Linked DNA regions of Sus scrofa. The protein of the gene in region 4 interacts with the protein of the main gene of each other region in a biochemical or structural test. Links are inferred from orthologs where the notes say so. Each region holds a gene or a part of one and is shown on either strand. Other genes may lie near its edges.

Region 1 (4,546 bases), on a different chromosome or scaffold from region 4:
AACTGTTCTAACCAAAGAATGAGGTAACCTCTAACTTATGGGTCTTGACTTGCTTCTTCATTCTTACATTCATTTCCAACACTTATTCAGCACCAGGAACTTCAGTAGACATTGAAACTAAACTGATCCTGCCCTCAAGAAATTCACAGATTAATGGAAAAGACAGGCACAAACTTAGACATTTGCAATAGAGTGCTATAGGGACCTATAAGAGTGGTCTGTACATGAGCCATGGAATAGAGAAGAGCAACTCTACTACGGAGATAATAGAAGGAGAAACTAAGGGACTGCTTCCCAGAGGTCCAACAAGTGCTTCTCCACAGGCAGGTAGAAGGTGGCATTCCAGGCAAAAAGAACAACACATGCAAAAGCAGAGATGAGAAGAGGGGGGCAGAGGGTTATAGAAAATGAGCCTCTGCAAAGGTAGGCAGTACTCTAACCTCCAAGAGGTTCCTACTCATATCAGAGTTTAAAATTTTTCTTTAGCAAATGACCAGTTGAGGGTGGGGAGAAATGATTGGTTTTTGTTTTACAAAGATCTCTCTGGATATACAGTGCCCTCCTTGTAGAAAGCACTCCTTCCTCCAAACCTAACACAGAACCTCATAACATGTGCTGAGTAAGTGTATACTGAATTAAACTGAACAAGCTCTTTGTCAAGTGTTATCTTATGGATGAGAGGCAGGTCACCACCTTCCCCGCAGGTCTCACTTTGGCCAGGACAAGACCTGTAAAACAGGTCCAGCAGCCTCAATTATTGCACACTGCTCCCTGTACAACTGGAGCCCCCAGAGAGGACGGAAGGCCTTCACTGTTTACATGGCTACCTCACCCACTAGACTTTGAGCTCTGTGAAGACAGGGAATATCTTAATAGATTCAAAATCCCCACAGCCCTAGCAGGAAACTTGAAACAGTAGCTCTTCAGATCCCAGCAATGTTGGGTAAATCAATGACTAAATAGGCAAATTTCCCAGACAGACCCAAGAGCTCACAAAAGTTAAGGACATGGATAAGCTTCAGGGAATGTTTCGGGGTCCATGATTCCAAAACCCTTTTTGAGAAGTATAGTTTCTAGTTGAGGAGAGACTGATTTCATTCGCACCTGATTCAGGATTTACCAAATGTGAACAAAAAAAGTGCTGTGGTAGAAATCCAAGCAGGCCTCTGAGGGGCCCAAAGAGAAAGTTTTGCCTGAGAGGAGTATGGGGGTGGTGCCAGCAAAGACTTCTAATGGGGGTAATTCTTCCGCAGACTCCTGAAAGCTAAGTAGGTGGTGGATACCCGCCTGCTTCGAGGGCACAAAAACAAGTTCCTGGAACGGTAAGACTGGAAGTGACCTGCTCAAGGTCACACAGGAAGTAGGTGAAGTCACAAGTTAAGACCAATGAGGCATGTGTCTACTGTTGACTCCTTTTTCTCCTGACCAAGTCGAGAGAGAGCCCAAAGACACCGGAGGCAAAATTACACATTTTCTCAGAAACAACTCTTAAAGGCTAAACTAGTGAATTTGAAATGTTTATTGGTACCAGGGTACCAACTCTTGCCTTCACCTTTCACTGTTCCGGGGGCGGGGGGGTGGGAGGAGAAAGTGTAAGACAGTTATCCAAAGGGCTTAACAAACAACAAGCACTTGGCTCTCCACACTTCCAAACACCCAGAACGTCTCCAGTGTTCTTCCAAAACACCCCAGCAATGTCTGCTGTGAAACTACTCCAGACAGTAAAGGATATAATAGCGCCTATTGAAATGGAATAATCAACATGAAACAGCCACAATTCTCCTTTCCCAGTTTGTTTTTAACGCCACAAGTGAGCGTCTTCCCGGGGTGGGGGAGGGGCCGCGTGAGTCAAACACCATCCAGTATTTTTCAAGGAGTTGAACCCTAGACGTGATCCCCCGCCCCCCTGGCCTGGACCGGGGTGATTTCTTTCGTGCACAATGAATCTGACGCTGCCTTGCTAGGCTCCCCGTCGGGGGGCCGCAAAGTTCGGGAGGGAGTCCCGGACCCAGACCAGCGGTCCCGACCCCTCCCCGCCTCGGCCCGCCGCCGGGTCCCTCAGCTCCCCCCCCCCGGCGTCTGAGACCTGCGGCCGCCCGGGTGAGCGCACGGGGAGCCTTTGTTGGTCCGACAGCGGCGGCCAGCCTCGAGGGGCGACGCCCCCGCCTCGCCTCACCTGGCGCCCCCCGCCCGCCCAGCCCTGCAGCCGGAATGAATGGGCCCCACGCCCCGCGACGCCCCCGCCCCCGCACCGCGCGACGCCAAGGGTACCGCGCGGGAGGCCGGCTCTCACCTTCCGCGCTTAGCTTCGGCTCCACTCGGTTCCTCCTCCTTTTCCACGCCGGCGGCGGCGGCGGCGGCCGAGCGGGGGAGCGAGCGCGCGAGTGTGTGCGAGGGGCCGCTTCACTTTCCCCCTCCCGCCGCCTCAGCCGCCGCCGCCGCGCACTCGGCGCCTCCCCGCCTCGCTGGTGCCGGGGAGTCCGCTCCGGACCGGGCGGGGGCGGGGGTGGTCAGCGACCCGGGGGTGAGGTGGGGGAGGGAGGGAGCCCGGCGACGCCGCTGAGGAGGTGCGGCTCCGGCCGCTGGAGAGGCGAGGGGCTCGACTGGCCTCCGGGGGAGGAGGTGGGGAGACAGAGGGTTCTTTGAGGGGCTCCGCAAAAGAGGGGGTAAGAGTCTGAGAGAAAGCGTCTGTCGAGTAGGACGGCGGAGCTGCTGAGGGAGGCGGCGGGGAGGCGCGACGGACGGGCGGAGGGGGAGGGGGCTGTGGGGGGAAACCGTGAGGGGGCGTCTGCGGTGCTACCGACACCTGGGTCTCCAGCTGAAGCCCCGGCCCGGGCCCCCGCCTCGGCCTCCGCCGAGCTATTGTACGCCGCCGGGCCGGGCGGACCGCCTCGCCCACCGGCCCCCCGCCCCCTCCCCCGCGAGGCCGAGGCTCCGGCCCAGCCAGGCCCGCCCAGCCTCCTGCAGGTGGGAGGGGGCGGGGAGGACTGGACCGACCCACGTGAGCGAAGCCAACCCAGGCCTGGGGGAGGGCCAGCGCCTGGAATGACGTCATTGGCGCGTGACGCCAGAGGCTGGGGAATCACCCGCTGCCGCATGACGTCATTGCGCCCCCGTCTCTCCTCGAGTGCTATCGCTCGCTACAGCTGCAGGCTCCTTTAAGGCGGGCTTTCCCCAGGATGTTTGTGGGAGGTGTTAAGGGGCGACAGTGGTGGAATCGGGGTCGAAAAAGACAGCCAATCCCATAGGATTGTGGTCCTCTTGGTTATAAAGCACCACTGCATCTGCTAGCTTGTTGCCAAGCGCTGAGTTTGGAAGCTACCCCATATCCTGTGACCTCAGAACTGGACATTTAATACACTGTTGGCTTTCTTGGAGGAGGGGCAAAGAAATGTTAATGGAGGTTTCAACTATTGTGCTCTGGTAGAAAAGAATGGGCAGCTTTTCGCGCCTTCCTACACCAACGGAGGTCGCATTCTACGCAAACCTTTTCCCTGAGTTCAGATTCTGCGTTTCCTAATGAAATGTTTGCACTGTACCTCAAATTCCCCATGTCCAAAACTGAAACAACGTTAGTGACTAAGGGTTTGGAATTAAGTTGCCTTGCTTCAGATTCCAGCTGTACAGATGTTGGTGATAGGATCTTAACATTTCTAAGCCACAGTTTCTCCTTAAGTTGTACCTGTGTATGGGTAACTTGATCTGAGTCACCGTTTTATAATAATAGTAAGTGCAATTTAGCACCATTAAGCCCTTTGGAATGTAGACTGTTCCTACTACAATATTCCCCAAAACTTGTGACTCATGTTACTTTCTGGTCTTGGTGAATGGACCACCATTCAGCAGTACACTAAGCCAGAAACCCCCATTCTTCTTTCTCAACGCTCATCAAATTTGTCACCGAGTCCTGTAGAGTCTCCTAAATATTTCCCAAGATCTCGCCCTTCTCTTCACTCACTGCCATCACCTAGACAACTAGAGCGGCTTTCAGTCTTCCAGATTCAACCGTACTTACCAGTGACCAGAGTAACCTTTTAAAACGACAAATCTGACGAAAGCCTTCCCTCTTTAAATACTCTCAAAGGGTTTTGTGCTTCACAATAAAATCCACATTCTTAATGTGGCACTGCACAACCTTGGTGCTTACACCAGCCTTTCTAGCCTCATCTTACGTGGTATCTTTTGTTCCAGCCACACGGAAATACTACTTAATGTTCTTTGGACAAACATGTCTTCGTGTCTCTGAGCCCTGCTCTATCTCACTGGCCAACACCTATTCATTCTACAAAGCCCAGCTCAAATATCCAGTCCCTTTGTTCATCCAACTAATATTTCTTGACGTTCCCAGGGCACAGCAGAAACGAATCCAACTAGGAACCATGAAGTTGCAGGTTCAGTCCCTGGCCTCGTTCAGTGGATTAAGGATCCAGCGTTGCCGTGAGCTGTGGTGTAGTGGTATGGATCGCAGAGGAGGCTCAGATCCCATGTTGCTGTGGGTATGGTGTAGGCTGGCAGCTGTAGCAATTCAATCGCTAGCCTAGAAACC
Region 2 (4,299 bases), on a different chromosome or scaffold from region 4:
TCGTGGGCCCCCCCTGGGGATGCCTAGGGCAGGAACGTGGGAGCGGGGCTCTCGGAGTTCACGGGACTGGAAGAGGGCAAGCCAGTGCAGCAGGCAAGGGAGCGGCTCCGATGAGGCTGGGCACCGAAGGCATTCTCGCCGAGGCCGAGAAGGGCTATTTGCGAGGCACCTAGTGTGCCGCCTCCCCCACCCCCTCCGACTTCTGGACCTCCGTACAAACCCTTAGGCTGCCTCCACTGGTGAGTGCTGCTGGGGGCGGGGCTGGGCCCACCCTGGAGGGGTTCTCCCTCTGGGCTGCAGGAGGGAGGGAGGAGGGAGGCTGAGGGGTGACTGCCTGGGAGGGCCCCGGGCCCAGGCCCCCCTCCCCCTCTGGCCTGCCCAAGGCACCTGAAGCTCTGGGGACTTCTGGCTGAGGTCAGCAAAGGCATCCCCCAGTGCATGCTGGGTCTGCAGCAGGCTGTAGAGGTGGGCTGTCAGGGCCCGGCCCAGCTGCAGGACACTCTCATACTTGCGCTTCGTCTCACGCAGCAGCTCAATTTGCAGCTCTAGCTCCAGGTCCACAGTCCGGGAGCCTCGGCCAAACCGCTCTGATAACAGCTGCTTTGTGCACTGAGTGGGAAGTGGGGGAACAGGTCAGAGACCCTGGCGCCCGGCCCTGCCCCGCAGCAAGTGTCTACCCCGGCGTCCCCAGACTCCAAGTCTCAGCCCGAGATGATGGGACAGGAGGATCCGCAAGATGGGGAAGAGGTACCCGGGGGAGCTCAGGGGGCGGAGGAGGTGCGTGAATCCCACCTTATACGTGTTGATGCCCCATTTCTTGACGATGTCGAACTTCTCTCCAGCGATGCCCCGGGCCACCTCATCCCCGGGGCCAGCAGGAGGGGCGCTGTGAGATGGATGGCGGCCAGACCCTAAAGGACCAAGTTCTCTGACACCAGCCTCTCTCAGACACAATCCGACGCCTCTGTGGTTCCACCCACACTTCCCTCCCAGCACATGAAAATGACGCCCCGGAAGGAGCAGGGCTGGAGACTCACTAGGAGGAATTCATGCCTTGGACCCTGAGACCCAATCCCAACATACACCTGGCCTCCTTTTGACGTGGAGGTGAGGACTGGAAAGGGAGGTGGGAGGGGTTGCTCGTGTGCAGGGGCAGAGGAAACAGCGGAGACTAGGCTGAGAATGGGGTCGCTGACCATGGCTGGGCGCCCCTCGAACCGAACACCTGGCTGACATTCCCATGTGGATCCCAGTCACTGCGAGATTCAGGGCTGCTTGTTCCTCTAAATAGCAGAGTCTAACGTAAGACTCTGATAAGCCTCTCAAAGCTCCAAATCAGATTCAAGCTCCAGAGCAGGGGAGGCCTGGTGAACAGAGTTCTCTGCCTGACTCAGGTAGTGACGGCAGAGAAGGGACAAGTGGGCATATCTGAGGGACAAAGTGGCAAGTGGAGGCAGATGGACACCCCTGGGAACGGGCCTTGGGCTGAGATGCCCGCGGGTTCATCCTGGCAGAGGTTCCCACGAGCTCCAGACATGATTCACGCCTTCTTAGACGTATCCTATGCCCCCTGGAGCCAGTCCTCTTCCCCTCTCCACTCAATGCCCTATCCTGCTCTGATCATTCATACCTGTGGGGATGAGTCCATCACCAGAGCCCCCATAGCCACCAGACACAATGCTGGTTTCATTGAGGTTGGGTCCTGACACCATCACCTGCTGGAGGTCCTATAGGCCAGAGAAGAGGGGGGCTTCAGGAACATATGGGCAGCTGAAGCATTTTGGGGGTGAAAACAAGCTTGGATTGAAGCATCATAGAGAGAGCACACAAGGGAAGTCTGCACAGAATCAGAACAAAGATTGGTAAAAAGACTGAAGGAAATCAGGTGAGTTGGGGGAAGGCTACTGGAAGAAGGAGAGAGCTCAGGGTTTAAGAGTTGGGATTCCTCAACTGAAACAATGTGAAGAATCAAACAGAAGCACCTGCTCCAGCCCATCATCCTCAGGAAGCTGCCCCGCGTCACCATTCCCGTGGATGGGGATCTCCATTGTGGCTGCCTTCCCTAGGATCCCGTCCGTCATGGCGAGCGAAGGGACTGGAGTCAAAGTCTCCACCCCAGCGCCCTGCAAAGCCCAACACAGACAGTTCTGGAAACGGGCCAGTTCTCCGAAGAGGAAGGTCTCCCCTGCCCTTGCAGAGGCCGTCCCGGGGCTTCAGTGTGGTGGGGTCTGCCCACCACTCTTCCCTCGGGGCTTTGTCTTTCTCCCTTCCAAGGTGCAAAGTTTTACACACAGGCACCCAGGCCTCAGGTGTGCCTGACCAGAGGTCATGTTCTCATGACCCCCCCACCCCCACCCCCCCAGCAGTCCAGGGATCATTCATGCATTCAGTCCTTCCACAGACATTTAATGAGTGCCTACTACATGCCACGCACTATTTGAGGCAATGGAGAGAAAGCCTGTGCTCTCAAGCAGCTTATCCCCACGCAGGTATTCCTCCTCATCAGGAGACAATCCCTTTCCCAGCGCTCAGGTGCCTATCCCCGTTCAGGTATGTTCGCCATTGTTTGGCCTTTCACACTCCTCTAATGTCTCCTCCTCTTTCCTGCAGGTGGTCTCCCCCTCCTCCATCCCATGCACCCCCTCTTCCTGCCCCCACCCCCGCCCCAGGCCTTAGTTGAATCAGTTGGTGTAAGTTCCCGACCCCGGGGAAAAGTCCCTTTGCCCCAGGACATAGGGAGGTGATCCCTTCCAAAGTCAGTTAGGTCTCCCCAGGTGTGTGAGTCTCCGCCCTCCCCCCATACACCTGGGCGTCAGGTGTGTCCTCATCCTTTCCCAGGGCTCAGAAGCATCTTGCCCTCAGGTCAGGTTCGTGCGTTCACCTTGCCCTCGCCCATGCACGTCCCTCTCACCTCGGGCCGGGCCGCTCTTCCCCTCAGGGCGCCAGGCCCGGGCCGCGCGGGGATCTCGGGATCCAGTTCCCGTCGCGATCCTAGCAGCAGGTCAGGGACTCGGCGGAAGTGACGTCCTCTCCCGGGCAGAAGAAGCCGGCCACGTAGCCGATTATGAGGGCGGAAGTGACGTCGCGGGGAGGTGGGCGGGCGCTCCTTGAGCCAACCCCTCTGCCCCTGGGGAGCCATTGAGGTCACTTCCGGGGCGTTCCCTAGAAGCTGTAACGGAAGTGACGTAGGTTGTGCGCCGGCGGCGTGATGGAACAGCAACAGCAGCAGCAGCAGCAGCTGAGAAACGTGAGTGGGAGCTAAGTCGCTTAAGGGCCCTGCATCCAGCTAGCATCCCTGTTCGCATGGCGGAAACCCCAGAGAGCCAGGCATCCAAGGGCTGGGAACCACGGGCCGTGGTACACGGTCCTGGGAAAGCGCCGGCAGCGCGGCCTTGAGTTGAGACGTGGCCCCCTCTTCGCTGAGTTCCTTGTCCCCCTTCCTCCCCAGTTGCGGGACTTCCTGTTGGTCTACAATCGGATGACGGAACTCTGCTTCCAGCGCTGCGTGCCCAGCCTGCATCACCGAGCTCTGGATGCCGAGGAGGTTAGGTGGGGGAACTGAGTAGGGAAGTGCTCCTCGAGCCTCAGAGCTAACCGTGCACTGCTTCCCTCTCCCGTCAATTCCCCTACGTCCGGCCCTGGCTTCCCACGACCTCCGCCCTGAGGCTGGGGATGGGAAGGAGGGAAACGGACCTGACTGGACACCTTTGGCTTCTACTTCCACCCTGTCTTCCTTCCAGGAGGCCTGTCTGCACAGCTGTGCCGGGAAGCTGATCCATTCCAACCACCGCCTCATGGCCGCTTACGTGCAGCTCATGCCTGCCCTGGTACAGCGCCGCATCGCTGACTACGAGGCTGCCTCAGCTGTGCCAGGTGTTGCTGCTGAACAGCCAGAAGCCTCGCCATCTGGCAGCTAGCTGTCCTCAACGCTGAGAAGGGAGGCACTGGATGGACCCTCACGTTGAAGGAGCAGTGGACCTTGGGCAAGATGGAGCCTGTATGTAGAGAATGAGGAGTTGCCTGAGAGCTAGGTACTGTTGCTCCTTTTCCTGGAGCTAATAAACCTGCTGTAATCTGTGCGGTTGATATTCTGGGCAGGGAGAAGTTGCCTTCTGTGTGTGGAAGGAAAACCTCAGCATTCCCAGGCACCTGGTTAAAGGAAGGTCTGTGGGTACAGCTTTAAAATTGGCAACAAGACGCTGGTTCGTGCCCAGACGGCAGAGAAAATGGGAACTCTGTCCTTAAATCTGTCTGACTTAAATGGTTCGCTTAGAGATATTAAGGACCATGGATTAAGAA
Region 3 (4,234 bases), on a different chromosome or scaffold from region 4:
AAACATCCTTGATTTTCATTAGACTTAACAACAAAAACCTCCCACTATCCCTTGCTGGCCTTCTCTACCAAAGCTCACTTATAGGGTACATGATCTGTAATTACATCTGTCTACCCTGGGGCCTTGAAAGAAACTTAAGCACCAGAACAAAAGAAATGAACCACTGACAGCAAATCCACACTTTTAAGAATAAGACCACAAGGTCTTGGAGCATGTGAAAAAGGAAAACAGCAGTTGTACATTTACTTCACAAAGAATGCAGAGGACATTGCCCTTGGTAAACAGCCTTTGAATATTGCCAAATGGATGGACCTATACCCAGAGCACTACCAAGGGGAGAAGAGACCCAATTCATATATAAAACAAAACCGGTGAAGAACCAGTGAAATGGTAAGGCCAAAAACTTCAAATCTTAAAAATGCTATTTCTCCCCTAGAGCTGGTAGTGCCCAAAACATGCACCATAAGCATAAAACTGCAAAACACAAATATGGAAATTTTTAGGATACGTATGTGCCCATCAGATTGTTTCATGATAAAGTGCCATGAAGGCTACTTGCTCCTGTGAAAAATACCGTATCCTCGGAGTTCCCATCGTGGCTCAATAGTTAACAAATCCGACTAGGAACCATGGGGTTGCGGTTCAATCCCTGGCCTTGCTCAGTGGGTTGAGGATCTGGCATTGCCATGAGCTGTGGTGTAGGTCAAAGGTAAGGCTCAGATCCCACGTTGCTGTTGCTGTGGCTGTGGCGTAGGCTGGCAGCAACAGCTCCGATTAGACCCCTAGCCTGGGGACCTCCATATGCCATGGGAGCAGCCCAAGAAAAGGCAAAAAGACAAAAAAAAAAGAAACAAAGAAAAATACCCTATCCTATCTATACTTACTTATTTCTTCCAACTACCAGCCTCCTACAGGCACATCTACAACATACCCAGAGATCTTTATTTTTGTTCACACCATTATCAGCTCCCTTCTCCCAATCTTCTCTCCAGCCAGCCAATCTTTACCTCTTTGCTTCTTCCAAATGACACAGGTACTCATAAGCCACATTTTGACGTCTCCTTTCATCCATCTCCTCTGCAGTAAGTCTCTCATTATCCAGGACAGCTAGAACATGAAAGAAAGAAGGTCAGCACAAGAATCTGTACCCTTCCTGAGTGATAAAAGAATGCCACAGCATCAAATTCCTGCTAGCCACCTAGAGTCAGGGTAATGTGTGCACAGCCAGGCATCCTACAGGGACTTTCCTAAGACAGGAACCACAGAGTTCGACCATATGCATCCTAATCTTTGTTTAAAACTACAATATTATGAACATGTACTAAATTTCAGGGTGACTTGAAAAATACTGACTTGAGATTTTGGTCCAAATCTGTGCTGGTCTATCCGCCAGACTCCTTCTAAATCCAGAGCTCTTCATGTTTTTCCCTCTTGTATTAATAATTACAGCCAGCAGTCATTGAGAAACTAAGTGGTGTAATTGTGATCTGCATTTTACATGCATTCTCTTAGGGAAGCCCCACAACAATCCTGTGATTATCACTCCCATTTTACAAATGAGGAAAGTGAGGCTGGGTGATCTTAGCCCCATGGCTTCTAAATGGTGGGGCCTGGATTCACACCCAGTCTGTCTCAAAAGCCTATGAGCTTAACTTCAAAGGAATCTGCTTCCCTTTATGGGCACCCAGGATATGGAATAAACTCCAAATTCCTGGGGTTGGCATTCAATGCCTGTCCCAGTTTAGCCGGACTGCTTTGGGAAACTCCTCTCCCTCCCCTCCCCCTACCACTGTGCACTCCACACCGCTCAGTTCCCAACCCGCACAGGGCTCTTCTGCTCGTCAATACCTTAGTTCACACTCTTCCTCTTCAGGTCACGTCTCAGGCCCCACCCTGCCCTGTCAAAACGCACAGCATCCTGCAGGGCTCTGTTCAAAAGTCCTCTCTGGGTTCCTCCTGCCTTCCCCAGGCCCCTCCCCCACCCCCACCTTATAGTGTAAGTCCAGCTGGTGCAGGGCATCTCTATCACTCCTTATTATCATTAGATAGTACACCTGCCTGTCTCTCTGATAAAAACATTCTTTCAAGGCAGGGTCTGGTCTTACTCATCTTTGTCACCAACGTGACACAATACCTCGTCGTATATAACTGTTGAGTGAAAGTATCTGAAAACACAACATTATTCATAGAATATAAAATAAAATCGAAAACCTCCAGACTCCAAAGGCCTCTCCTTTGCCCAGTGGTAACTAATCCGCCCGCAGTTCAGTGGGACAGGTACAGAAAATGAGGTTCGGAAAATGAGGAAGTCGGAGGTTTGGGGTTTTTTCCCCTCCACTTTTGAAATCCTGCAGAGGGATCCCGAGAAAGCTGAAGTGACCTGCCCAAGACCGCACCTTTCAGCTAGCCTGGGGCCGGGCAGGTCTGGACCCTGAGTCTACCTCGCAGGCAGCACTCGGGCAGCACCTTCTCACTACGCCCGTGCAGAGCCCGCGTCTCCGGTCCCTGGGACACGCCCTGCCCCGTCCTCCTGCCACCTCACCCTAGGCCGTCTCCCCAATCTTGGCCAAGCTGAGTAGCGGGAGGCGCTGGGTGGGGCCCTCCAGCCGCAGCGCCCGGGAGAAGGCGGGGAGGTCGCCTGGGTCCCCCCCGCCGCCGCCTCGGAGACCGAGGGGGCGCGGGTTAGGGTCCTTGCCGTCCGCCACCCCGCGACACCGGCTCTTCCGGGTACGCGCGGCCCACAGCCACCCTGCCCCACCCGCCCAGCGAGCCCCCGGGTAAACGGCGCCTCGGAAGCAGCGAGCCCGGCCCCGAGACCCCCGCGCTGCGGAGCCCGCACTCACAGCCATAGTGTGGCCGAGCCACGCCCAGTCCGTCAACTTCGTCCGTGGCGGACATGGCGGCCGAGCCCGGGTCTCTGCTCAGGAAGCAGCAAAACCTTGGAGGCGAGGGCGGCGGCGGCTGCTGCTCCTGCACAGTGCGCGGGCTGCCCTGGTCCCGCAGGCCCCGCCCCACGCCACCGGCCCCACCCGAAGGCCACGCCCCACACCGCCGGCCCCACCCGCAGGCCCCGCCCCAGCGGCCCCGCCTTGCCGCGCTGACCAGAGTGAGCGAAAGGAGGCGGGGCCTGACCCTCCCAACGCCTCCACTAGCCCCCGCCCTGCGCCCGCTACGCCCTCAAGAGGCGGAAGGAAGAAGGTGGAGCCTGCCCGCCAATCTTGCTGTCAGCTCCGCTCCACTGACAAGGCCCCGACCCGTTCTGGATCCCTGCCCTCGCCGGCCGCCGCCCCAACCGCACCTCCTACAAAAAGGCCACCAGTGTCGGTAGCTTGAAATAAAAAATGTGGGCACCCTCCTTCTCCTGCTTGCCTAGCCAAACTCTTCTGCACCCGAGTGCTCAGGGAAGGCCTCCTTTGAAGTGGCTCAGCGTGTTGTTGTGAACAGAGGCAAGACCCAAACTGCCTTAAGGGGCTGCACAGTCTGGCAGTCTGACTCAGTCTTCTCCCAGATTCGCCAGCAGTCGCCAGATTTGAACTGCTTAACTCCCCTAAGTATTTGAGAAGTGGATGCTAGAGCAGGAGAATTGTCCAGACTTCCTTCCCTTAGTTTCCTTGCCACTATTCTTTGCAAGTTCTTTTTAGGGCACTCTTTGCCTCTTTTAGGGATGCCTCTTCCCTTGCAACTTGTGGCCTGCCCTGAAAATATTGGAATTCAACGGAATTTTGTGCTCAGCCCTCTTCTGTTTTTTCTTTGCCCGCTTTATCCACGCTCACCTTAAAATGCTAAGGAACTCTAAATGTAATTCTCAGACCAGACTTTCTAGAAGCCCTGGCTCATCGTTTTCCGCTGTGTAATGGACATTTTAACCTGTGAAGCCCACGAACATTTTAAACGTGTCAAACACTGACCCTCCTCCTGTTAAAATCTGTTAATGGTGCTCAGTTCTCAGTCGAAACTTCGCGCTTGGTTCACGCCCTACAGGCAATCGGTATTTTTTTCTGAAGTGTCTTGATTTTGTCTCCATCACTACTGTGATTACATTGTTTAGATTGTCATCACCTCTGTTTTCCCTCATGCCAACCAACTCCCTGTTCTTTCTAAAGTGCAAACACGGCCGTGTTCCTCCATTTTATAGTCTTTTGCTAATACTCCCTTCAGGATGTGGTCCAACTTCCTTAGCATGCCAAATAAGCTACTTCACAACCTGGCCCCGGGCTTTTTGCTCAAGCAATTT
Region 4 (4,258 bases):
GTAAATTAACCTCCGTATCTTGTCAAAATACTGTCTTCATCCTTCGATCACAGGCGCTCCCCACGCTCCACCCCGCGCACCCACGGCCAGAACACCTCGCCGGAGGGAACACGTGAGCAGGAGTTCAGTTCAAGGCTCACGAAAGCTAGTACACTCATCGCTTAAAGAAACCCTCACTACGCAATCAGAGCTTGATGCAGAGAGCTGCGCTGTCACCTCCTCGCCAGGACGCACAGTACAACGTCAGGTCATGGGCACGGGCGGATAGACGAGGGTGCGCTCCGTGGCGACGTTTCGCGAAGGAGGCGCTACGCCCGCCCTTCACGGTGGAAAGCCGCCGGCCTCGGAAGGGACGGTCTCGCAGGGAGAGAGGTCTCTGTCAACAGCTTAGTGCTTAGTGTTCTCAGCCCAACAACGCAACTTGGCTCACAAGGGATTTTGGCAACTCTTCATCTGAGCAAGAACAGGGGCTTCTGAAAAATAAGGCTTTAGGAAAGCTTGTCATTTTAGGGCTAAACTTTAATAGAATGTGAAAGTTTAAACTCTTACACTTTAAACAGAGAAAAACCTAGAAATTACTGATTGGTTCAAAACGGTTTTATGGAAAAACTAATCTGTAACAAAAACTTGGCATTGAGTGCGAAGGCTCCACATTTGAGCAAAGCAGACAAAGGTTCGGGGCGGGACGGGCCCCCGCCCCGGGCCCCAGGCGTTTACAACAGCAGGCACTTCCTCTTCCTCTTCTTGACGGGGGGCGGGCAGAGAACCGCTCGGATGGCTTCGTCGAACACTGTCTTGAGGCCCCGCTGCGTGAGCGCCGAGCACTCCAGGTATTTCACAGCACCTGCCGGACGGAACACGGCCTCTCAGCCTCGGCCTCGCCCCCCCATCCCACCCCCCGGCTCAGCCGGGTCTCTGCAGGGGCGGCCAGACCCGGGTCCACCTCCCCGGGCGGGACTCCGGCCTCTGGCGGGCCAAGCAGACCTGGCGCCGCGGGGTTTCCTACCGATCTCCTTCGCCATGGCCAAGCCCTGCGGGTAGGTGATGGGAGTCAGCTTCTTCTCCTTCAGTTTCTCGATCGTGTCTTTATCATCCCTGAGATCAAGCTTCGTCCCCACCAGGATGATGGGCGTGTTGGGACAATGGTGTCGCACTTCTGGGTACCACTAGGCGCGGGGACAGGAGCAAAGTCACGACTCTGGTGGGAGCCGCCCTCCCGCCGATTACGGCCACACCGGTGCCAAGCTGTGTCAATCCCGAGTCCCTGCGTCGCCACGGAGCCTTCCTGCAGGGGACAGCACGCTGCCCTCGGCCAGGCTCCCCTCCAGAACCACCAACCACTGCACCGTGGGACCGGCGAGGCAGCCCCCCGCCCGCCACTCTGTTTTTGGTTTCTGGTCAAGTTCTTAGGTCATTTCAAAACCCCTCACACATTCGAGGATGAGAACCAAACTAGCAGGACTCAGGACTCAGCTCTACCGTCTCCTCCCCGCCAGACGCATCCCTGACCCACCGCCGTCATCTCCACCAAGCCCACCGGTGCCGCCAGTCCGTCATTTTTATTCACCTGGCTCCCAACTGCCTCGTTATTTTAACAAGGAACCCAGCACTTCTGCATCGGCCCTGAAACTTGAGAACTCTGCATACTAAAGTCACCTTGCTGGAGTTCCCGTCGTGGCGCAGTGGAAACGAATCCGACTAGGAACCATGAGGTTGCGGGTTCCATCCTGGCCTTGCTCAGCGGGTTAATGATACGGCGTTACCGTGAGCTGTGGTGGAGGCTGCAGATGCGGCTCGGTTCCCGCATTGCTGTGGCTGTGGTGTAGGCCAGAGGCTACAGCTCCAATTGGACCCCTAGCCTGGGAACCCTCCATATGCCAAGGGTGCAGCCTTAGAAAAAACAAAAAGACGAAAAAATAAAAAATAAAAATAAAATATCCCACTTACCTTTGCGCGAACATTTTCAAAAGATGCAGGGCTCACAAGAGAAAAGCAAATTAAGAATACGTCCTGTAAAAAGAAACACAGGGAGGCGTTTAGAGAATGGTCTTGGCGTGGCGAAGTCACTTTGCTTCCTAAATGCTGCGGGGAAAGCGCCAGAAGCCCCGGCTCGTCCTGCGCACCAGCAGCTGAGGCGCGAGCCGGCTCCCTGCACCCTCTCTGGTCGAGACGCTCCCAGACCAGAACCAGCACGTGAAGCACAAGTTACTGGTGAGACTGGGAGTGGAGCACAAGACACGCTCTGTTACTGGAGGCCACAGACAGACAGGCCTCTTTCCATCACTCCAGCTCTGCCTGGGAGCTTAATGCTGTTCCTGCCTGGGGACAAAATCCTGTGTCAAGGTGCTACGCCTGCATTTCTTTAAAACCTGGTCTCGGTTCCTCAAAAGTAGAATCCATTTCAAAAACATCATCTACAACGCTACGTTTCTCATTACGTCCCCATCAGAACATTAGGTCCAAACACTTCTAGGGGCTCACGCGGCTCCAACTACACTGCTTTTAGGAAGGACCGGCCGTCAGGGCCCTGGGCCCAAGGTGGGTCTCAGGTCCTCGCTCACCCGCTGGCCCTCGGGAGGGAGGACGGCCTCGTGTGAAAGCGGCGTCTCGCCGGCTGTCAGGGCTTCTCAGGCCCAAGCAGGGCCTCTGGAGAACATGCACTTTATTGTGCAAAAGGTGAGATTTAAACGTTTACACATCCTTTTTAAAAAAAAAAAATAAGCCAAAGTTTCTAAAATGCTAGGTTTATGAACTATTTTCCTGGAAAAGGGCAATGACACTCCTTTGTGAAGTGCACACACTTTCAATCCTCAGCTGACACCCTGTACCTGGAAGGGAGCGACCTCCCACACGACAGCGTTTTGTAAATGACATGAAATTTGAGCGCATGCACAAGGTTGCCCAGGAACCACCACGGCCTCTGGCCCTGGGCTGATCACGCCTCCAAGCGGGGCCGGTGAGCTCAGCAGCGCACAGCCCGCCCGCCGGACAGGCCCGCACCCAACACCGAAGCGGGGGAAGGGCCGCCAGGGTGGTTAGTCCCGCTCCCGCCAAGCCCGTGGCCGGGGCGCCAGGGTGAAGCCTCGCGTCTCCCCAGCAGCCTGGAGAGGGCCCCTTCCACCAAAGCCCCCGTGCCCTGAGAGGAGGGGAGAAAGCAGCTTGGGAACGGCTCTGATTCAGGCCAGCAGGTCGACCATGGGCTCCAGTGAAAGCACGTTTCATCGAGCCGACCTCAACCTTGAGTGAATCAGAGGTCAAACACTCAAGGACCGGGAGGCTCGACGGGAAATCCTAGGAAAACTAAGTGAAACGAGAGAACAGATCAAGCTGGAAACTGAAGTCGATTGAAAGTTTTACATACGGCAAGCGCTTGTCTTTGCCCCTGGAGGGTCTATCCTTACCATACGTTTCTCCAACCTAGTAATGCACGAGAACTTGGTTTGAGGTTAGTAAAAACTGAGAACAGTCAACATAACCCGTTACTCATTCTTCATCTGGGCGGTGTCTCAACCCTCCCAGGGAGCAAGCGGATGACGATCCAGCAGGTCTACGCCACCCAGGGTCACTGAATCCCTCCGTCACCCTGGCCACGGGGCACGAGGGGCCCTGTGAAGGTCACTGGTGGTGGGGGCACCGGTCGGGCAAGTCCTGGGGAGCAGACGGAGCTCCTTCCTCCCTCAGCCGCCGCAGACGGCTCCTCTCCCGGCAGAATGACAAGGTGCCCTCGAAGGCGGCGGAGGACATGGGAGAGGCAGCCGGCACGGAGCCAAGCTCTCCCGCTAAGCTCGCGGACACGAGGCCCGGAGGCCAAGAGCAAAGGGGCCCATCCACACAGCGGGGCCTGTGGGACGGGGCTGCCCAGGAAGGCGGCCAGGCCAGAGCTGTGACCGTGAGCCTCCGGGGCAGCAAGGCCGGGGCCTGGCCTGAATGTGCCACCGCACCAAGACCCGCAGCACCCCCTCCCCCACCCCCACCGCGTGTGGAGGAGGCCCCCCCAGAGGTGGCAGCATTTCCAGTGTTTATCACAATGCTTCCAATAAAAACTGAAAGACTAGCTCTTCCAACAACAGAGAATCTGGCGTTCTAAGAACCAAGGTGAGACAACTACTTTCATCTCACTCAAGCTTTTCCCCTTTACAAATCAAAGCGAATATTAAAGTCTCTGTAATGATCCTGGTTGCACCTGTAGGCTATTTTTAATATACTTTTAAAAACTAAAGTATAACTGGTTTGCAATAAGCCGATTTGTGCTGTACGG
Region 5 (4,228 bases), on a different chromosome or scaffold from region 4:
TGGGAACGGATTTTCTGAAGCCATTTTTTTCACTTCAAACCCCCTTCTCATCCCACCTCCACGCGTCTTGTCCACACCCCCTCCCCCCAATTTTAATCACTTCTCTTTCAGCAAAGTTTTGAAGTCCTGGGTACTGTCTCACTTGAAGCATCTTCTAAGCTCTTATGAAGACTATCAAGGTCATGTACTTCCAAAGCTCCTGCTCTATGAACCTCAAAAGCCCATTAAGTAATTAATGATATTCTTTTAAGGATTAGCTGCATATAAAATATTAGAAAATCACTATTCGCATCACACACAAAAAAACTGCATCTTTTTCTCTTCATCATGTGTTCTGTCTCTTTCTCTCTCTCTCCTCTCCCCCGACTCTGCCCTCTCTTCGCTCTCTCACTCTCCTCAGTGACTACAATTGGACACCAGGCTTTCTGCCTTTATGGTGCATTCCAACATTAAAAAATGGTTCAACTATTATTATTTTTTTTTGTCGTTTTGTCTTTTAGGGCTGCACCCACAACATATGGAGGTTCCCAGGCTAGGGGTCTAATCGGAGCTGCAGCCGCCAGCCTACTCCAGAGCCACAGCAACATGGGATCTAAGCTGCATCTGCAACCTACACCACAGCTCATGGCAACGCCAGATCTTTAACCCACTGAGCGTGGCCAGGGATTGAACCCTCATCCTCATGGATGCTAGTCAGGTTCGTTAACCACTAAGCCTTGACGGGAACTCCTGATTCAACTATTGGTAACATTCGAAATCATTTTAAACACGTCAAAATTGAAGATGAAGGATGTAGCTCCCTCATTTAGAAAGCAGATGAAAGGCAAGTGCCTGGGCTGGTCTGGAAGATCATGATGGATTCAGAAGCCGGTTTATATGAACTGAAGAAATGAGTACCCGTCGGTGAGGTTATCAGGAGGATTAAATAAAACAAGACCTGGAAAGCATTTAGCTCAACGCCTGGCACATAAAAAGGGCTCAGCAAATGATAGCTATTACTATTATCAGAAGCCTTTACGATGGAGGCCATAATTCAGAAGAGGAAGAGCATTAGCAAGACAGAGACAGTGCCGACCAGAGACCGTGTCTTGACGCATCTGTGCATTCTATTTCAATTGCTTTGACAGTGGACAGAGCATTTGCATTAACTTCTCTGATCCTCAGAATGAGCCTGTGAAGGAGGGAGGGCAGGTGGTATTAGCCCGGCGGGCAAACCAGGATGCGATGAAGGGGCAGAAAGCCATTAACTTGGTTTCGGTATAAGGTTTAACAGTCACTAAAATGAAAGAGCTGGGACAAGGAACAGGCCCTTCTTCAAGGCCCTGAAAGAGGATTCTTTTTTCTATTTGGCTGATATCCTCCAATCTTTTAATTTATGGTCCTGCCTCATCTTAAGAACTGGTCTCTGAATCATTTAAGATTAAAACGCCAAAGTCAATGCAATAAAAAGCTAACCCTGATTAGCCACTGTGGTCCAGTGGAGTGAATCAAGATGTTTTCTCTCATCTCCCAGGCAAAAGTTACAGGCTCCCTTCCCTTCCTGGAGCAGTGCACCCTGCTTTGGGGAGTGGGGTCCTTGCAGATGGCTGGGGGGTGGGTGGGAAGGGGAGAGTCAGTGCCATGTGCAGGGACTTGAATCCCAACAGCCCAGCTGCTGTGTGGCCTCCTGTGGCCCCAGCGCCAATTGAGCACAAACGATTACAGGCTGGCAGCTGTCAATTATCCAAGCCAGATCAAATCCCCAGCGGCATTCCACATCTGGAAAAGCCCTCCTTAGGACTGGTGCAGAAGCATCTGTGCATTCTCATGTCTCTTATTATCTTCAAAGCTACCCAGAGAGTATTATTTTCCAAATGCAAAGATTAAGTTGAAAACGCACAGCATAGTAAGTCATTTTTATCTAGAAAAACATCCTCTATAGCTAATGTTGGTACCCAGGGAGAAACTATTTTTTATTGGGTTTTTTTTTTTTTTTGTCTTTTTTTGCCTTTTTCTAGGGCTGCTCCTGTGGCATGTGGAGGTTCCCAGGGGTCTAATTGGAGCTGTAGCTGCCAGCCTATGTCACAGCCACAGCAACACAGGATCTGAGCCTCGAGTCTCTGACCTACACCACAGCACACGGCAACGATGGATCCTTAACCCACTGAGCAAGGCCAGGGATCGAACCTGCAACCTCATGGTTCCTAGTCGGATTCGTTAACCACTGCGCCATGACAGGAACTCCAGAAACTATTTTTTAAATAGCAGGCAATATGAAAGATAGGAAAAAAACACCATTGAAAATGGTTGGTACACTATGAAATAACTTACACTTTCTCCTATGTTATCTAAAATGAGTAAAACTTTTGAGCCCACTGCATACACTAAATATGGCTAATGTGTTTCCCAAACCTTACTTCCAAGGTTTTGACTAAGCAAATAAGATAACGGAGATACTCAAAAGGACTTACCTCCCATAACGTGCAGAGAAGAAATATGCTGGGTACAGGGAATACAAAGGTTTCCACACAAAATATTCAACCTTCAATGGAAAAGAACCTTCCACAGCACAAATCAATAACCCGGGCTGCCTCCCTGTTTGCCCTGCCTAACTAGGGTCTTTGCTATGAGATCTGATTACTGTTATCAGCAGGATGATGGGGCTGTCCTGCTTCAAGGAGAGTCATCCAACTCACAGATGAGCCAAAACACAGGCAGGGTGATGCTGGCACATATAGATGGAAAGTTCTGGAGCTTCTTGTCCTGTATGGGGAGGACTCTGTGGTCTGACTCAAACTGTTCATGCAGGCAACGAATACCAGATTCTCAGAACAGGGACACACTAACATCCCCAAGTCATGGAAAACTGGAGAAAACGCAAAAAGGAGCCAGGGCTTTGCTCTGGGTGCCAGGATCCACACCCGTCAAGTTCCTCCCTGGAGAGGAATAGTTTGCTTTTTTGTATCCTTTAAGAAACCATTGAGAAGAGCTCCCGTCGTGGCTCAGTGGTTAACAAATCCGACTAGGAACCGTGAGGTTGCAGGTTCGATCCCTGACCTTGCTCAGTGGGTTAAGGATCTGGTGTTGCCATGAACTGTGGTGTAGGTCGCAGATGTGGCTCGGATCCCACGTTGCTGTGGCTGTGGCGTAGGTGGGCAGCTGTAGCTCTGATTCGACCCCTTGCCTGGGAACCTCCAGGTGCCGCAGGTGCGGCCCTAAAAAGACCAAAAAAAGAAAAAGAAAAGAACCGTTGAGAAACAGGCATTTTGTGCCTAATGTACCAAAGACTCTGGGACACAGGGAAGCGTATCCTGCTAACAGGCTGCGGGAGGAATGCAGGGAAGGTCAGCAGGCGAGTGACGAGCAATGCCAAATGAATGCCAAAGTTCCAAGCGCTATGGGAGCGGAGGGCTGGGAGGGGCTCGAGCCAAGCATCAAAGGGAAAGGAAGGATTTGACCCATATTGAGTCCTTCTATTAAGAAATGGGCAAGATTTCAAACAGAAAATGACATTAGCTTCTCATTTTTAAAAGAGAGAAGGGCCAACACAATTTGCTGTTTTCCAAACTACAATCATTGAGGTCCAGGCTGGATTTGAAAGCCTGTCACTGTTGGGAGAAGTGGAGGCTTGTGGAAGGGGGTTTGGTTCTGGTTGGCTGTGTGGTCAGCCGTTTGGATAGGAAGGGACAGGAGGGCAGGGAGGGCAGTGCTCAAATCCAATTTGTCACTCCTATGAAAGATGTGCTGTGGTGGGCTCAAAATCCTGCTCCACTCTCCCTGCCTCGGTGGCCCTGGGGAAGTTAGCGCTCCCCAAACCTCAATTACCTCGACTGCGAAGTGGGGTAATGCCGCCATGTCAGGGATAGTTTGCGTTAAAAGGATGCCTTTAAAACTTGGAACACAATATCCAGCACACAGTGGTCAATTAAATACTAGAGCCCGCCACAAACAGTCAATTAATGATCCCACCTGACTCTTCTCATGCCATCTTGCCGCACAACAGAATGACAAATAACTGGGATCTCTGGTCATGGATTTTTCTAGAAAATGCATAATTTGGGAGTTCCTGTCGTGGCTCAGTGGTTAACAAATCTGACTAGGAACCATAAGGTTGCGGGTTTGATCCCTGGCCTTGCTCAGTGGGTTAAGGATCCCGCGTTGCCATGAGCTGTGGTGTATGTAGGTTGCAGATGGGGCTCAGACCCCATGTTACTGTGGCTGTGGTGTAGGCCGGCAGCTACAGCTCCAA
Region 6 (3,800 bases), on a different chromosome or scaffold from region 4:
AGGGGGAGTTGGCTAAAAGAACTTACTCTAGGCTTTTTTTTTTTCTTTTTAGGGCCGCACCTGCGGCATATGGGCCAACTGAAGCTGTAGCGGCCGGTCTACACCACAGTCATAGCAACGCCAGTTCCAAGCCGCATCTGCAACCCACACCACAGCTCACGGCAACACCAGATCCTTAACCCACTGAACGAGGCCAGGGATCGAATCTGCATCCTCATGGATAGTAGTTGGGTTCGTTACAGCTGAGCCACAAAAGGAATGGCCTAGGCTTATGTTTTTGGCAACAATTCTAAGTAGCCAGAAACCAACACACCACCGGCACACTCTGAGCTGACAGACTCCCCCCACTGCCTTCTAAGCCTGACAGGGTTTCTAAATCTGGCCGGCCCTTACACCTCAAGGTTTCCCAGTGGAGCGCTTGTTAGAAATCAGCTCTTTTACTGAACAGCTCAGGCCCATCCCCACGATGCAGGGGTGCTGGCCGAGGATGCGCCCCCATGAGGGACGGACTGCTCAGCCGAGCCAGTCCGGGGCCCCGGCCGTCCCTGGGCACTCACTCGAGTTGAGCGTCTGGCGCGTCTTGGCGCTGGTGCAGTAAGCCTCAATGACCTTCAGGATCTGGGCGTCCTCCTCCAGCGCAGCCGTGCCTGCAAGGACACACGACACGTCACCGGCCAGAAACAACCAGCACAGGTAACCCAGGAATGCGGATCATTAACCAATGACAGGGACAGCTTACAGGTGTTTTCCAATAGTCACAAAACAGTTACATCCTAAAGGACTTTTGTTTGTTTCTGCTGTTGTGTTGTCTTTTTAGGGCCACACCCGCACATATGGAGGGTCCCGGCTAGGGGCAGAGTTGGAGCTGTGGCTGCCGGCCTACACCACAGCCACAGCCACACTAGGTCTGAGCCGCATGTGCGACCTGCACCACAGCTCACACTACCACCAGATCCCCGACCCACTAGGCAGGGCCAGGAGCCGCACCTGCATCCTCATGGACACCTGTCAGATTTGCTCCCGCTGCACCACAACGGGAGCTCCTGTTCTACGTATTTTTTATCTGCAACCTATCTGGCAAAGCGTTCCTACGCTAAATACACATGAGCTGCCTCACTCACCCCCAAGGCACAGGATGCCCTATCCTGACAGTGAAAAAAGGCACGAAACAGGAACAAACCATTCACAAGAGGACACAGTAGGAAAGAAAAATGCTCATTCTCACAAGAAAAGAAGTGAAAATTAAAACTCCTGTTCTGGAGTTCCCGTTGTGGCGCAGTGGTTAACGAATCCGACAAGAAACCATGAGGTTGCGGGTTCGGTCGCTGCCCTTGCTCAGTGGGTTAACGATCCGGCGTTGCCGTGAGCTGTGGTGCAGGTTGCAGACTCGGCTCGGATCCCCCGTTGCTGTGGCTCTGGCGTAGGCCGGTGGCTACAGCTCCGATTCGACCCCTAGCCTGGGAACCTCCATATGCCGCGGGAGCGGCCCAAGAAATAGCAACAACAACAACAACAACAACAAAGACAAAAAGACCAAAAAAAAAATTAAAACTCCTGTTCTCACACATCCCCTGACGAAGACGAGAACGCACGCGCGTCCTCAGGAGCACGAGCGAATCCGGAATGGAAAAGTCCCCTCCAGCCTCATCTGGGAGGGAGGAGTGACCCCTGGAAGGGCCACCTGACCAAGGGGGCTAAGGCGTCAGCAGCAGCACTTCCTCTCGTCGGGAAAGTCCTGCTGGACGCGATCCAGGACGTGTGCGACGGCTCCACCGTAAACCGTGGGTTCCCCCAGCCTGGCTCCACCGGCCCGCGAGGTCACAGGCGTGTACAGGCTCAGACCCTCAGGCCCAGCACACCTCACACCGTCGGGGCTTACACTCTGTTTTCTGTTCACTAGGCTTTCCCCTTCTCTGAGATCCTACCTATACATTTTGAAAAAACAACGCAGGAAGGATGGAAGGCCGAAGTGTTTATAAGCTGTGCCAACAACCTCCACACCATCTGCCACGGTAGGACACACACACACGGGGCAGGCCCAACACTGCCCAGAGGTAGGCGTCAGCACCAAGAAATGACTCTATTTGGTCCCACATGGTCCAGCCAGCATCTTCTGTGTGGGAGGCCGAGAGGCCGGGGCCTAAAGGCCAGGCTGCCTCTGGCTCCTCGCAAGTTGGCACGGGGGCGCTCAGGCCGGCCCCACAGCAGGGCCCCCGGCCACGGGGTCCCAACCCGGCCTGGGCTCTGCGGCACACGGGGGCTGTGGGGTCGGTACGGCAGCGTCCATCGCTGGCCCTGTGGCTTGGGCGCTGACTGCCGCCCGAGACTCCAGGAAGCCGCCACCCCGTCCCCACGCCGTGCCTGCCGGCCCGGGCCCTCGCCCGCACTCACTCTTCCTCAGCGCGAACTCCTCGTCCGAAGGCTTCCGCTCGGGCTTGCGCTTAGGGAGCAGCTTCTTCATGGTCTTGGGACTCTTGCTAAGATCCTGGGGAGAAGGGGGAGGACGTGCTGAGCAAGCCCTGCAGGGGGAGGCCCGCGGGCAGAGGCGCGGTGCTGCCGTGACGCCGTGAGCTGGTGGGCACTCGGCCGGTGGGCAGCGCCCCTCCCCCCACTCCTGATTTTCCTCTGTCGGCCGCTAGGCGTTCATTTAAAACGAACAGAGAAAAGCTGTCCGGTCCCCTGGACCCGCCAGCTCGTGGCCACACCCAGCGGAGTGCTCCCTGGCCTCCAGGCAGTGGGCACTGAGCTTGGCCCTGTGGGCACAGACACGGCCCCTCCGCCAGGGGCACGGAGCGGGCCCCGCACCTCGGAGCAGGAACAAGAACGAAGGCAGACCCCTCACAGGCCCCAAGCAGCTCATCTATCTTTCAAGTCGCGGCAGAAACACGGGGATTCCCTGGGCGGACGCGCGGCCGAGGCGGAGCTCACCTCCTTGTAGCAGAGCGCAGCCGAGGGCCGCAGCGGCGGCGCGGGGCGCAGGCAGCTCAGGCTCCACGGCTTGGGGGTCTTCGGAGGCTCCAGGGGCCCCCAGTTGATGGTGGTGTGCGGGGTGCCGTGGTGGGAGGGGTGGGGCAGCGTGTGGTAGGTGGGGGTCAGCGGCGCCGGCTTGCTGTCTGCGTGCTTGCTGGACGGGGTGATGGAGTGGGAGGGGAGCTGCGAGGACAGGGCGGGGAGAGCAGACACACCGGTCACCGTCAGAGGACCCCCGCCCGGCATGTTCGCTCCGCTCAAACCGTCCCAGGGAGGTAACCCCGCATCCCGAGCACCTCGCCCAACCTCCGGGCACTCCGTTCCTGGGCCACCTGGGCCAAGCGGGGAGCCGGTGCCCCTGGCCCTGCTTCAGGTCACGGCCGAGCTTGGGTCACGAACAGCAGGATGCTGGGGGGCCAGACCCAGACAGGCCACCCACCACCTTTAATCGCCACCGAGTCACATTTGCGAAAAGGCACTCCGTTTGGTAGAGATGCCCGAGTCTTACAAAAGGAGGCGTCCCCTGCGCGGGCAGCGTGGTGATGAGGAAGGCAACACGCGGCCCTGTACTGCTCACTGCCTGCTGATCCCGGGCTCGGCCAAACTAGGGACCGATCCCCGTGTTTGTAAAAAAAAAAAAAAAAACAAAGAAAATTCCTGAAATCCCCACCACGGCCCAGCGGGTTCCTCCAAATGCAGAGGCTCGAGGCGGCAGCTTCGACCCCTGCTGGGCACAGGGGGTTAAAGGATCGGGCATTACTGCAGCTGTGGCTCGGATTCAATCCCTGGCCCAAGAACTTCCACATGCCATAGATACAGCCATAAAATCA
Region 7 (3,800 bases), on a different chromosome or scaffold from region 4:
CTGAGGCGGCAGAGCGAAGGCAGGAGAGAAGACTCACCTTTCAGGGCCATGGCTTTCATCTCCGAGGGCTCACTCTCATTACGCTGCAGCTTCCGCTTCGAAACAGATGAGGATTTTCCCAAGTTGAAGAAGGAACGCCAGCTGCCCACGGGAGATTTTTTCATTTTATTTTGAGGCCTCCTCCTATGAGAGAAAAAAAAATAATCTCTATCCAGATTTCCCAGGGTCTATCTTTCCCTCCTAAAAAGGAGCAAATGAAGGACAGAACCACACAGCCTGGAGAGCCACCGCTGATGCGGTAAATATCCACCGTCCCAAGGCGCACGCCACCCAGTGTGGCTCAACTGTGCAGCGAGAGCAAGAGAGAACACGAAATTAAATGTATGGACTTTGATAACAGGAACTAGTTTCACGAAGATAATTTTTATACAGATTGTCATATTTAGATCCAACGTCGCAATCTGTGAAATAAGTGAGAAAAGGCAATACTAAAACTTCAAAAATAAAACGGAGTTGAAGAAAATGATTTCAGGCGTGGGTAAAGAGAGTTAAGCCAAAAAAGAAGAAAAGTATTAAGAATAATAACTGACATATATTGAATGCCAAGCACTATGCTAACTGTATCTGTAGCATCTCATTTAAGTCATATAAAACCAAATAGGATAGGTACTATTACCTTCATTTTACAGCTAAGGAAAAAACTGTGATCTAAGAAGTATGACTTCCTTAATGTAAACCTAGTAAATGATGGGGTGAGGGCTCCAGCTCAGGGTTATCTGTATCCCAGCATCAACACTCTTGCTCACTGTTCTATAAAGAAGTTCATGAGAAAATTATAGAGGTAAAATATAAATTCAAGAAGCTGAATTTGTCAGAATGACAAAGTAAAAGAGTATGTTCTAAGTTTCTGTTGGTGGGACTTTTTTTTTTTTTTTTTTGGTCTTTTGTCTTTTTAGGGCCGCACCCGTAGCATATGGAGATTCACAGGCTAGGGGTCCAATCGGAGCTGTAGCTGCCTGCTTATGCCAGAGCCATAGCAAGGCGGGATCCGAGCCACGTCTGTGACCTACACCACAGCTCACAGCATCCTTAACCCACTGAGCAAGGCCAGGGATAGAACCCGTGTCCTCACGGTTCCTAGTTGGATTCGTTAACCACTGTGCCACAACAGGAACTCCTGGCGGGCCATTTTAATCAAGAGAAATGAAAGGACATTGGAGAGGTACACTAAGATATGGAAACAACTTCTGCACCTTTATTAGTACTCCCCCATCCTGGGAGTTGAAATCCTGACATTCCTGTGTAATAGCTAAAGGAGTAACTGAGACCAAAATGAACTTGCACCCATTAGTCTTTCCACGATAACTTGGTAAAGAAGATACATTTCTTTATAGAAACAGAGAATCAGAGCTAGAAGGGACACTGAGAGAGTGAACAACAGTGGTTCTCAAGTTTTGCACATATCAGAACCACTTGGAAGGTCTTTATCAAAAGGTTGTTTGCTGGACTCCACCCCAGACTTCAGATTCAGTGGGTCTGGGGTGGGCCCGAGAGTGAGCTGCTGGCCAGGAGCTCGCACTGTGTGAAGGGCTGATCTATCCCAGACTTAATGGGAACCAATGTCAAACAAGCCATTATTTATTCATTACTTTTGGAATAAGCTGTCACAATAGTTCATTTCTTTTTTATTTTTTTTTTGTCTTTTGTCTTTTTAGGGCTGCACCCACAGCATATGGAGGTTCCCAGGCTAGGGGTCGAATAGGAGCTGTTGCTGCCAGCTTACGCCAGAGCCACAGTAACACCAGATCCGAGCCACATCTGCGACCTACACCACAGCTTGTGGCAATGCCAGATCCTTAACCCACTGAGCAAGGCCAGGAATCAGACCCGCAACCTCATGGTTCCTAGTCGGATTAGTTTCTGCTGCGCCGTGATGGGAACTCCAATAGTTTATTTCTAAATAAACTTCTCAACAACATATTTCAGAGAGAAAATCACAGCCTACAGAGTGGAAGTATATCATTTTTCCCAACAATTTTCCCTTGATAACAACTGACTTTCCTCTCCTTTACAATGACACAACGTCGTAGTGCTTTTTGAGACTCATTCATGCCAGTCCCTATGAAGTAATACCCATAGCAGAATGAACAGGTTTTTCTGGGACTGGCAGAAAATTAACTAAACATAAAAGTAACAGTAAAAGAAAAGAATACATAGCCAGAAACTCAAAATTTTAAGGAGGATTTATTGAATTTTACCTTTCAAGTGGGAACTCAATTATGGTATGAAATTTTCCCTGAAGTGCAGCAGGTCCTTCTCCTACTTCGATATATTTATTTTCAGTTACAATTGGAGAATTGACCTGAGCTTGAGTTCGCGCCTGGGCTTCCTCCAGAGTCAGCAGCTTGGTGGATGGAGACGAAACCAGCAAGGACTTGGGTCTTGAAAGAGAAGCTTTAGAACGGAAAAAAGGAAAAAAAATTAAATAAATTTCTAAAAAAGAAAGAAAAAAAACCACTGAAATAGTCAAACTTTACAATTCAGGAGAAAAATATAAATGTGTGAGTGAGTGTATAACAATCTGGTTATCTGTCCACCCATCTGCCTACCTTTCTGTATTGTTTTAATTTTCTTAAGTTTTTAAAATGGGAGTTCCCATCATGGCTCAGTGTTTAACGAATCCGACTAGGAACCATGAAGTTGTGGATTCAATCCCTGGCCTCGCTCAGTAGGTTAAGGATCCCACATTGCCGTGAGCTGTGGTGTAGGTCACAGATGCGGCTTGGATCTGGCGTTGCTGTGGCTCTGGTGTAGACCATGGGCTACAGCTCTGATTAGACCCCTAGTCTGGGAACCTCCATATGCTGTGAGTGCAGCTCTAGAAAAGGCAAAAAAAAAAAGAAACGTTTTTTAAATGGCAAAAGTAATAGAGCCTTATACTAAGTGAGGAATAGAAGATGACATACCAGGTTATTAAAAGGATATACATATATGTATATGTATTTCCTGAAGTCATTTAACTATTTTCCTTTCTTAAAAGATAGCAGGCAAGGCCTAGTATCACTCATGCATTTTTAGTTTCAGAAGGAATTTTTCTTCTGCAGCTCTATATTGTACCTTTACATATATCAGTGGTAGGTGACATGATACGCTTTTTCTAATGTACCCTGAACTTAGATCGTAATAGGTCTAATATTTAGTATTCATTAAAAATGCATAAAATAACTATTAAATAGTGCATTAGAGTAAACAGATATAAGTTGGTTACACTCTATCTACCAAAGGCCCATTTATTAAATTGAGGAATCACAGTTTCCCAATCTCTTAAAAGTTTCCCAATCTCTTAAAAGAATCACCGTTTCCCAATCTCTTAAAAGTTTTTTTTTGTTGTTGTTGCTTATCCTTTTAGGGCCGCACCCATGGCATATGGAGGTTCCCAGACTAGGGGTCTAATCGGAGCCGTAGCTGCCGGCCTACGCCAGAGCCACAGCAACTCGGGATCTGAGCTGCATCTGTGACCTACACCACAGCTCATGGCAACACTGGATCCTTAACCCACGGAGCGAGGCCATGGATCGAACCCGCAACCTCATGGTTCCTAGTTGGATTTGTTTCCGCTGCTCCACGACAGGAACTCCAGAAGTTTTAATACATGTTCCTGGTAGTAAACGACATCTGTTGGAGCCATACCTGCCCCCTCCTGAATGACAGCACTGATTTTCCCACTGAAGAGCACGTCAACATGATTGAGAATGAACTCAACAACCACAGACTGAATTCTCACTTCCATGAAAGCTGCT

What was found.
Region 1: the proteins of RAC1 (region 4) and PAK1 form a complex in vitro, tested with the Homo sapiens proteins (17 studies listed by BioGRID and IntAct). The link is inferred for Sus scrofa from reciprocal best matches to the Homo sapiens genes RAC1 and PAK1.
Region 2: the proteins of RAC1 (region 4) and ARFIP2 form a complex in vitro, tested with the Homo sapiens proteins (2 studies listed by BioGRID and IntAct, with this or other methods). The link is inferred for Sus scrofa from reciprocal best matches to the Homo sapiens genes RAC1 and ARFIP2.
Region 3: the proteins of RAC1 (region 4) and IQGAP1 form a complex in vitro, tested with the Homo sapiens proteins (3 studies listed by BioGRID). The link is inferred for Sus scrofa from reciprocal best matches to the Homo sapiens genes RAC1 and IQGAP1.
Region 5: the proteins of RAC1 (region 4) and CHN2 form a complex in vitro, tested with the Homo sapiens proteins (2 studies listed by BioGRID). The link is inferred for Sus scrofa from reciprocal best matches to the Homo sapiens genes RAC1 and CHN2.
Region 6: the proteins of RAC1 (region 4) and ARHGEF7 form a complex in vitro, tested with the Homo sapiens proteins (2 studies listed by IntAct). The link is inferred for Sus scrofa from reciprocal best matches to the Homo sapiens genes RAC1 and ARHGEF7.
Region 7: of the proteins of RAC1 (region 4) and ARHGAP32, one has a biochemical effect on the other in vitro, tested with the Homo sapiens proteins (3 studies listed by BioGRID). The link is inferred for Sus scrofa from reciprocal best matches to the Homo sapiens genes RAC1 and ARHGAP32.

The regions. Positions count from the first base shown.
Region 1 is NC_010451.4:11,970,184-11,974,729, forward strand, and holds the start of PAK1 (serine/threonine-protein kinase PAK 1), read right to left. Parts: upstream 2,892-4,546; 5' UTR 2,294-2,891; intron 1-2,293. UniProt on the Homo sapiens protein: Protein kinase involved in intracellular signaling pathways downstream of integrins and receptor-type kinases that plays an important role in cytoskeleton dynamics, in cell adhesion, migration, proliferation, apoptosis, mitosis, and in vesicle-mediated transport processes.
Region 2 is NC_010451.4:3,248,778-3,253,076, reverse strand, and holds the start of ARFIP2 (arfaptin-2), read right to left. Parts: upstream 3,067-4,299; 5' UTR 2,912-3,066; intron 2,124-2,911; 5' UTR 2,082-2,123; coding exon 1,983-2,081; intron 1,728-1,982; coding exon 1,631-1,727; intron 912-1,630; coding exon 793-911; intron 610-792; coding exon 388-609; intron 1-387. Other genes in the region: TIMM10B (mitochondrial import inner membrane translocase subunit Tim10 B), read left to right, coding at 3,209-3,247, 3,449-3,544, 3,741-3,917. UniProt on the Homo sapiens protein: Plays a role in constitutive metalloproteinase (MMP) secretion from the trans Golgi network. May have important functions during vesicle biogenesis at certain cargo subdomains, which could be predominantly utilized by secreted MMPs, such as MMP7 and MMP2.
Region 3 is NC_010449.5:53,019,295-53,023,528, reverse strand, and holds the start of IQGAP1 (ras GTPase-activating-like protein IQGAP1), read right to left. Parts: upstream 3,051-4,234; 5' UTR 2,899-3,050; coding exon 2,844-2,898; intron 1,108-2,843; coding exon 1,008-1,107; intron 1-1,007. UniProt on the Homo sapiens protein: Plays a crucial role in regulating the dynamics and assembly of the actin cytoskeleton.
Region 4 is NC_010445.4:4,782,552-4,786,809, forward strand, and holds the end of RAC1 (ras-related C3 botulinum toxin substrate 3), read right to left. Parts: intron 3,418-4,258; coding exon of another isoform or gene 3,358-3,417; intron 2,011-3,357; coding exon 1,948-2,010; intron 1,167-1,947; coding exon 1,007-1,166; intron 845-1,006; coding exon 714-844; 3' UTR 502-713; downstream 1-501. UniProt on the Homo sapiens protein: Plasma membrane-associated small GTPase which cycles between active GTP-bound and inactive GDP-bound states.
Region 5 is NC_010460.4:43,439,639-43,443,866, forward strand, and holds the start of CHN2 (beta-chimaerin), read right to left. Parts: upstream 2,895-4,228; 5' UTR 2,458-2,894; coding exon 2,451-2,457; intron 44-2,450; exon of another isoform or gene 1-43.
Region 6 is NC_010453.5:77,514,275-77,518,074, reverse strand, and holds part of ARHGEF7 (rho guanine nucleotide exchange factor 7), read right to left. Parts: intron 3,154-3,800; coding exon 2,929-3,153; intron 2,486-2,928; coding exon 2,392-2,485; intron 648-2,391; coding exon 558-647; intron 1-557. UniProt on the Homo sapiens protein: Acts as a RAC1 guanine nucleotide exchange factor (GEF) and can induce membrane ruffling. Functions in cell migration, attachment and cell spreading. Promotes targeting of RAC1 to focal adhesions. May function as a positive regulator of apoptosis.
Region 7 is NC_010451.4:55,918,110-55,921,909, forward strand, and holds part of ARHGAP32 (rho GTPase-activating protein 32), read right to left. Parts: coding exon 3,691-3,800; intron 2,455-3,690; coding exon 2,259-2,454; intron 184-2,258; coding exon 38-183; intron 1-37. UniProt on the Homo sapiens protein: GTPase-activating protein (GAP) promoting GTP hydrolysis on RHOA, CDC42 and RAC1 small GTPases. May be involved in the differentiation of neuronal cells during the formation of neurite extensions.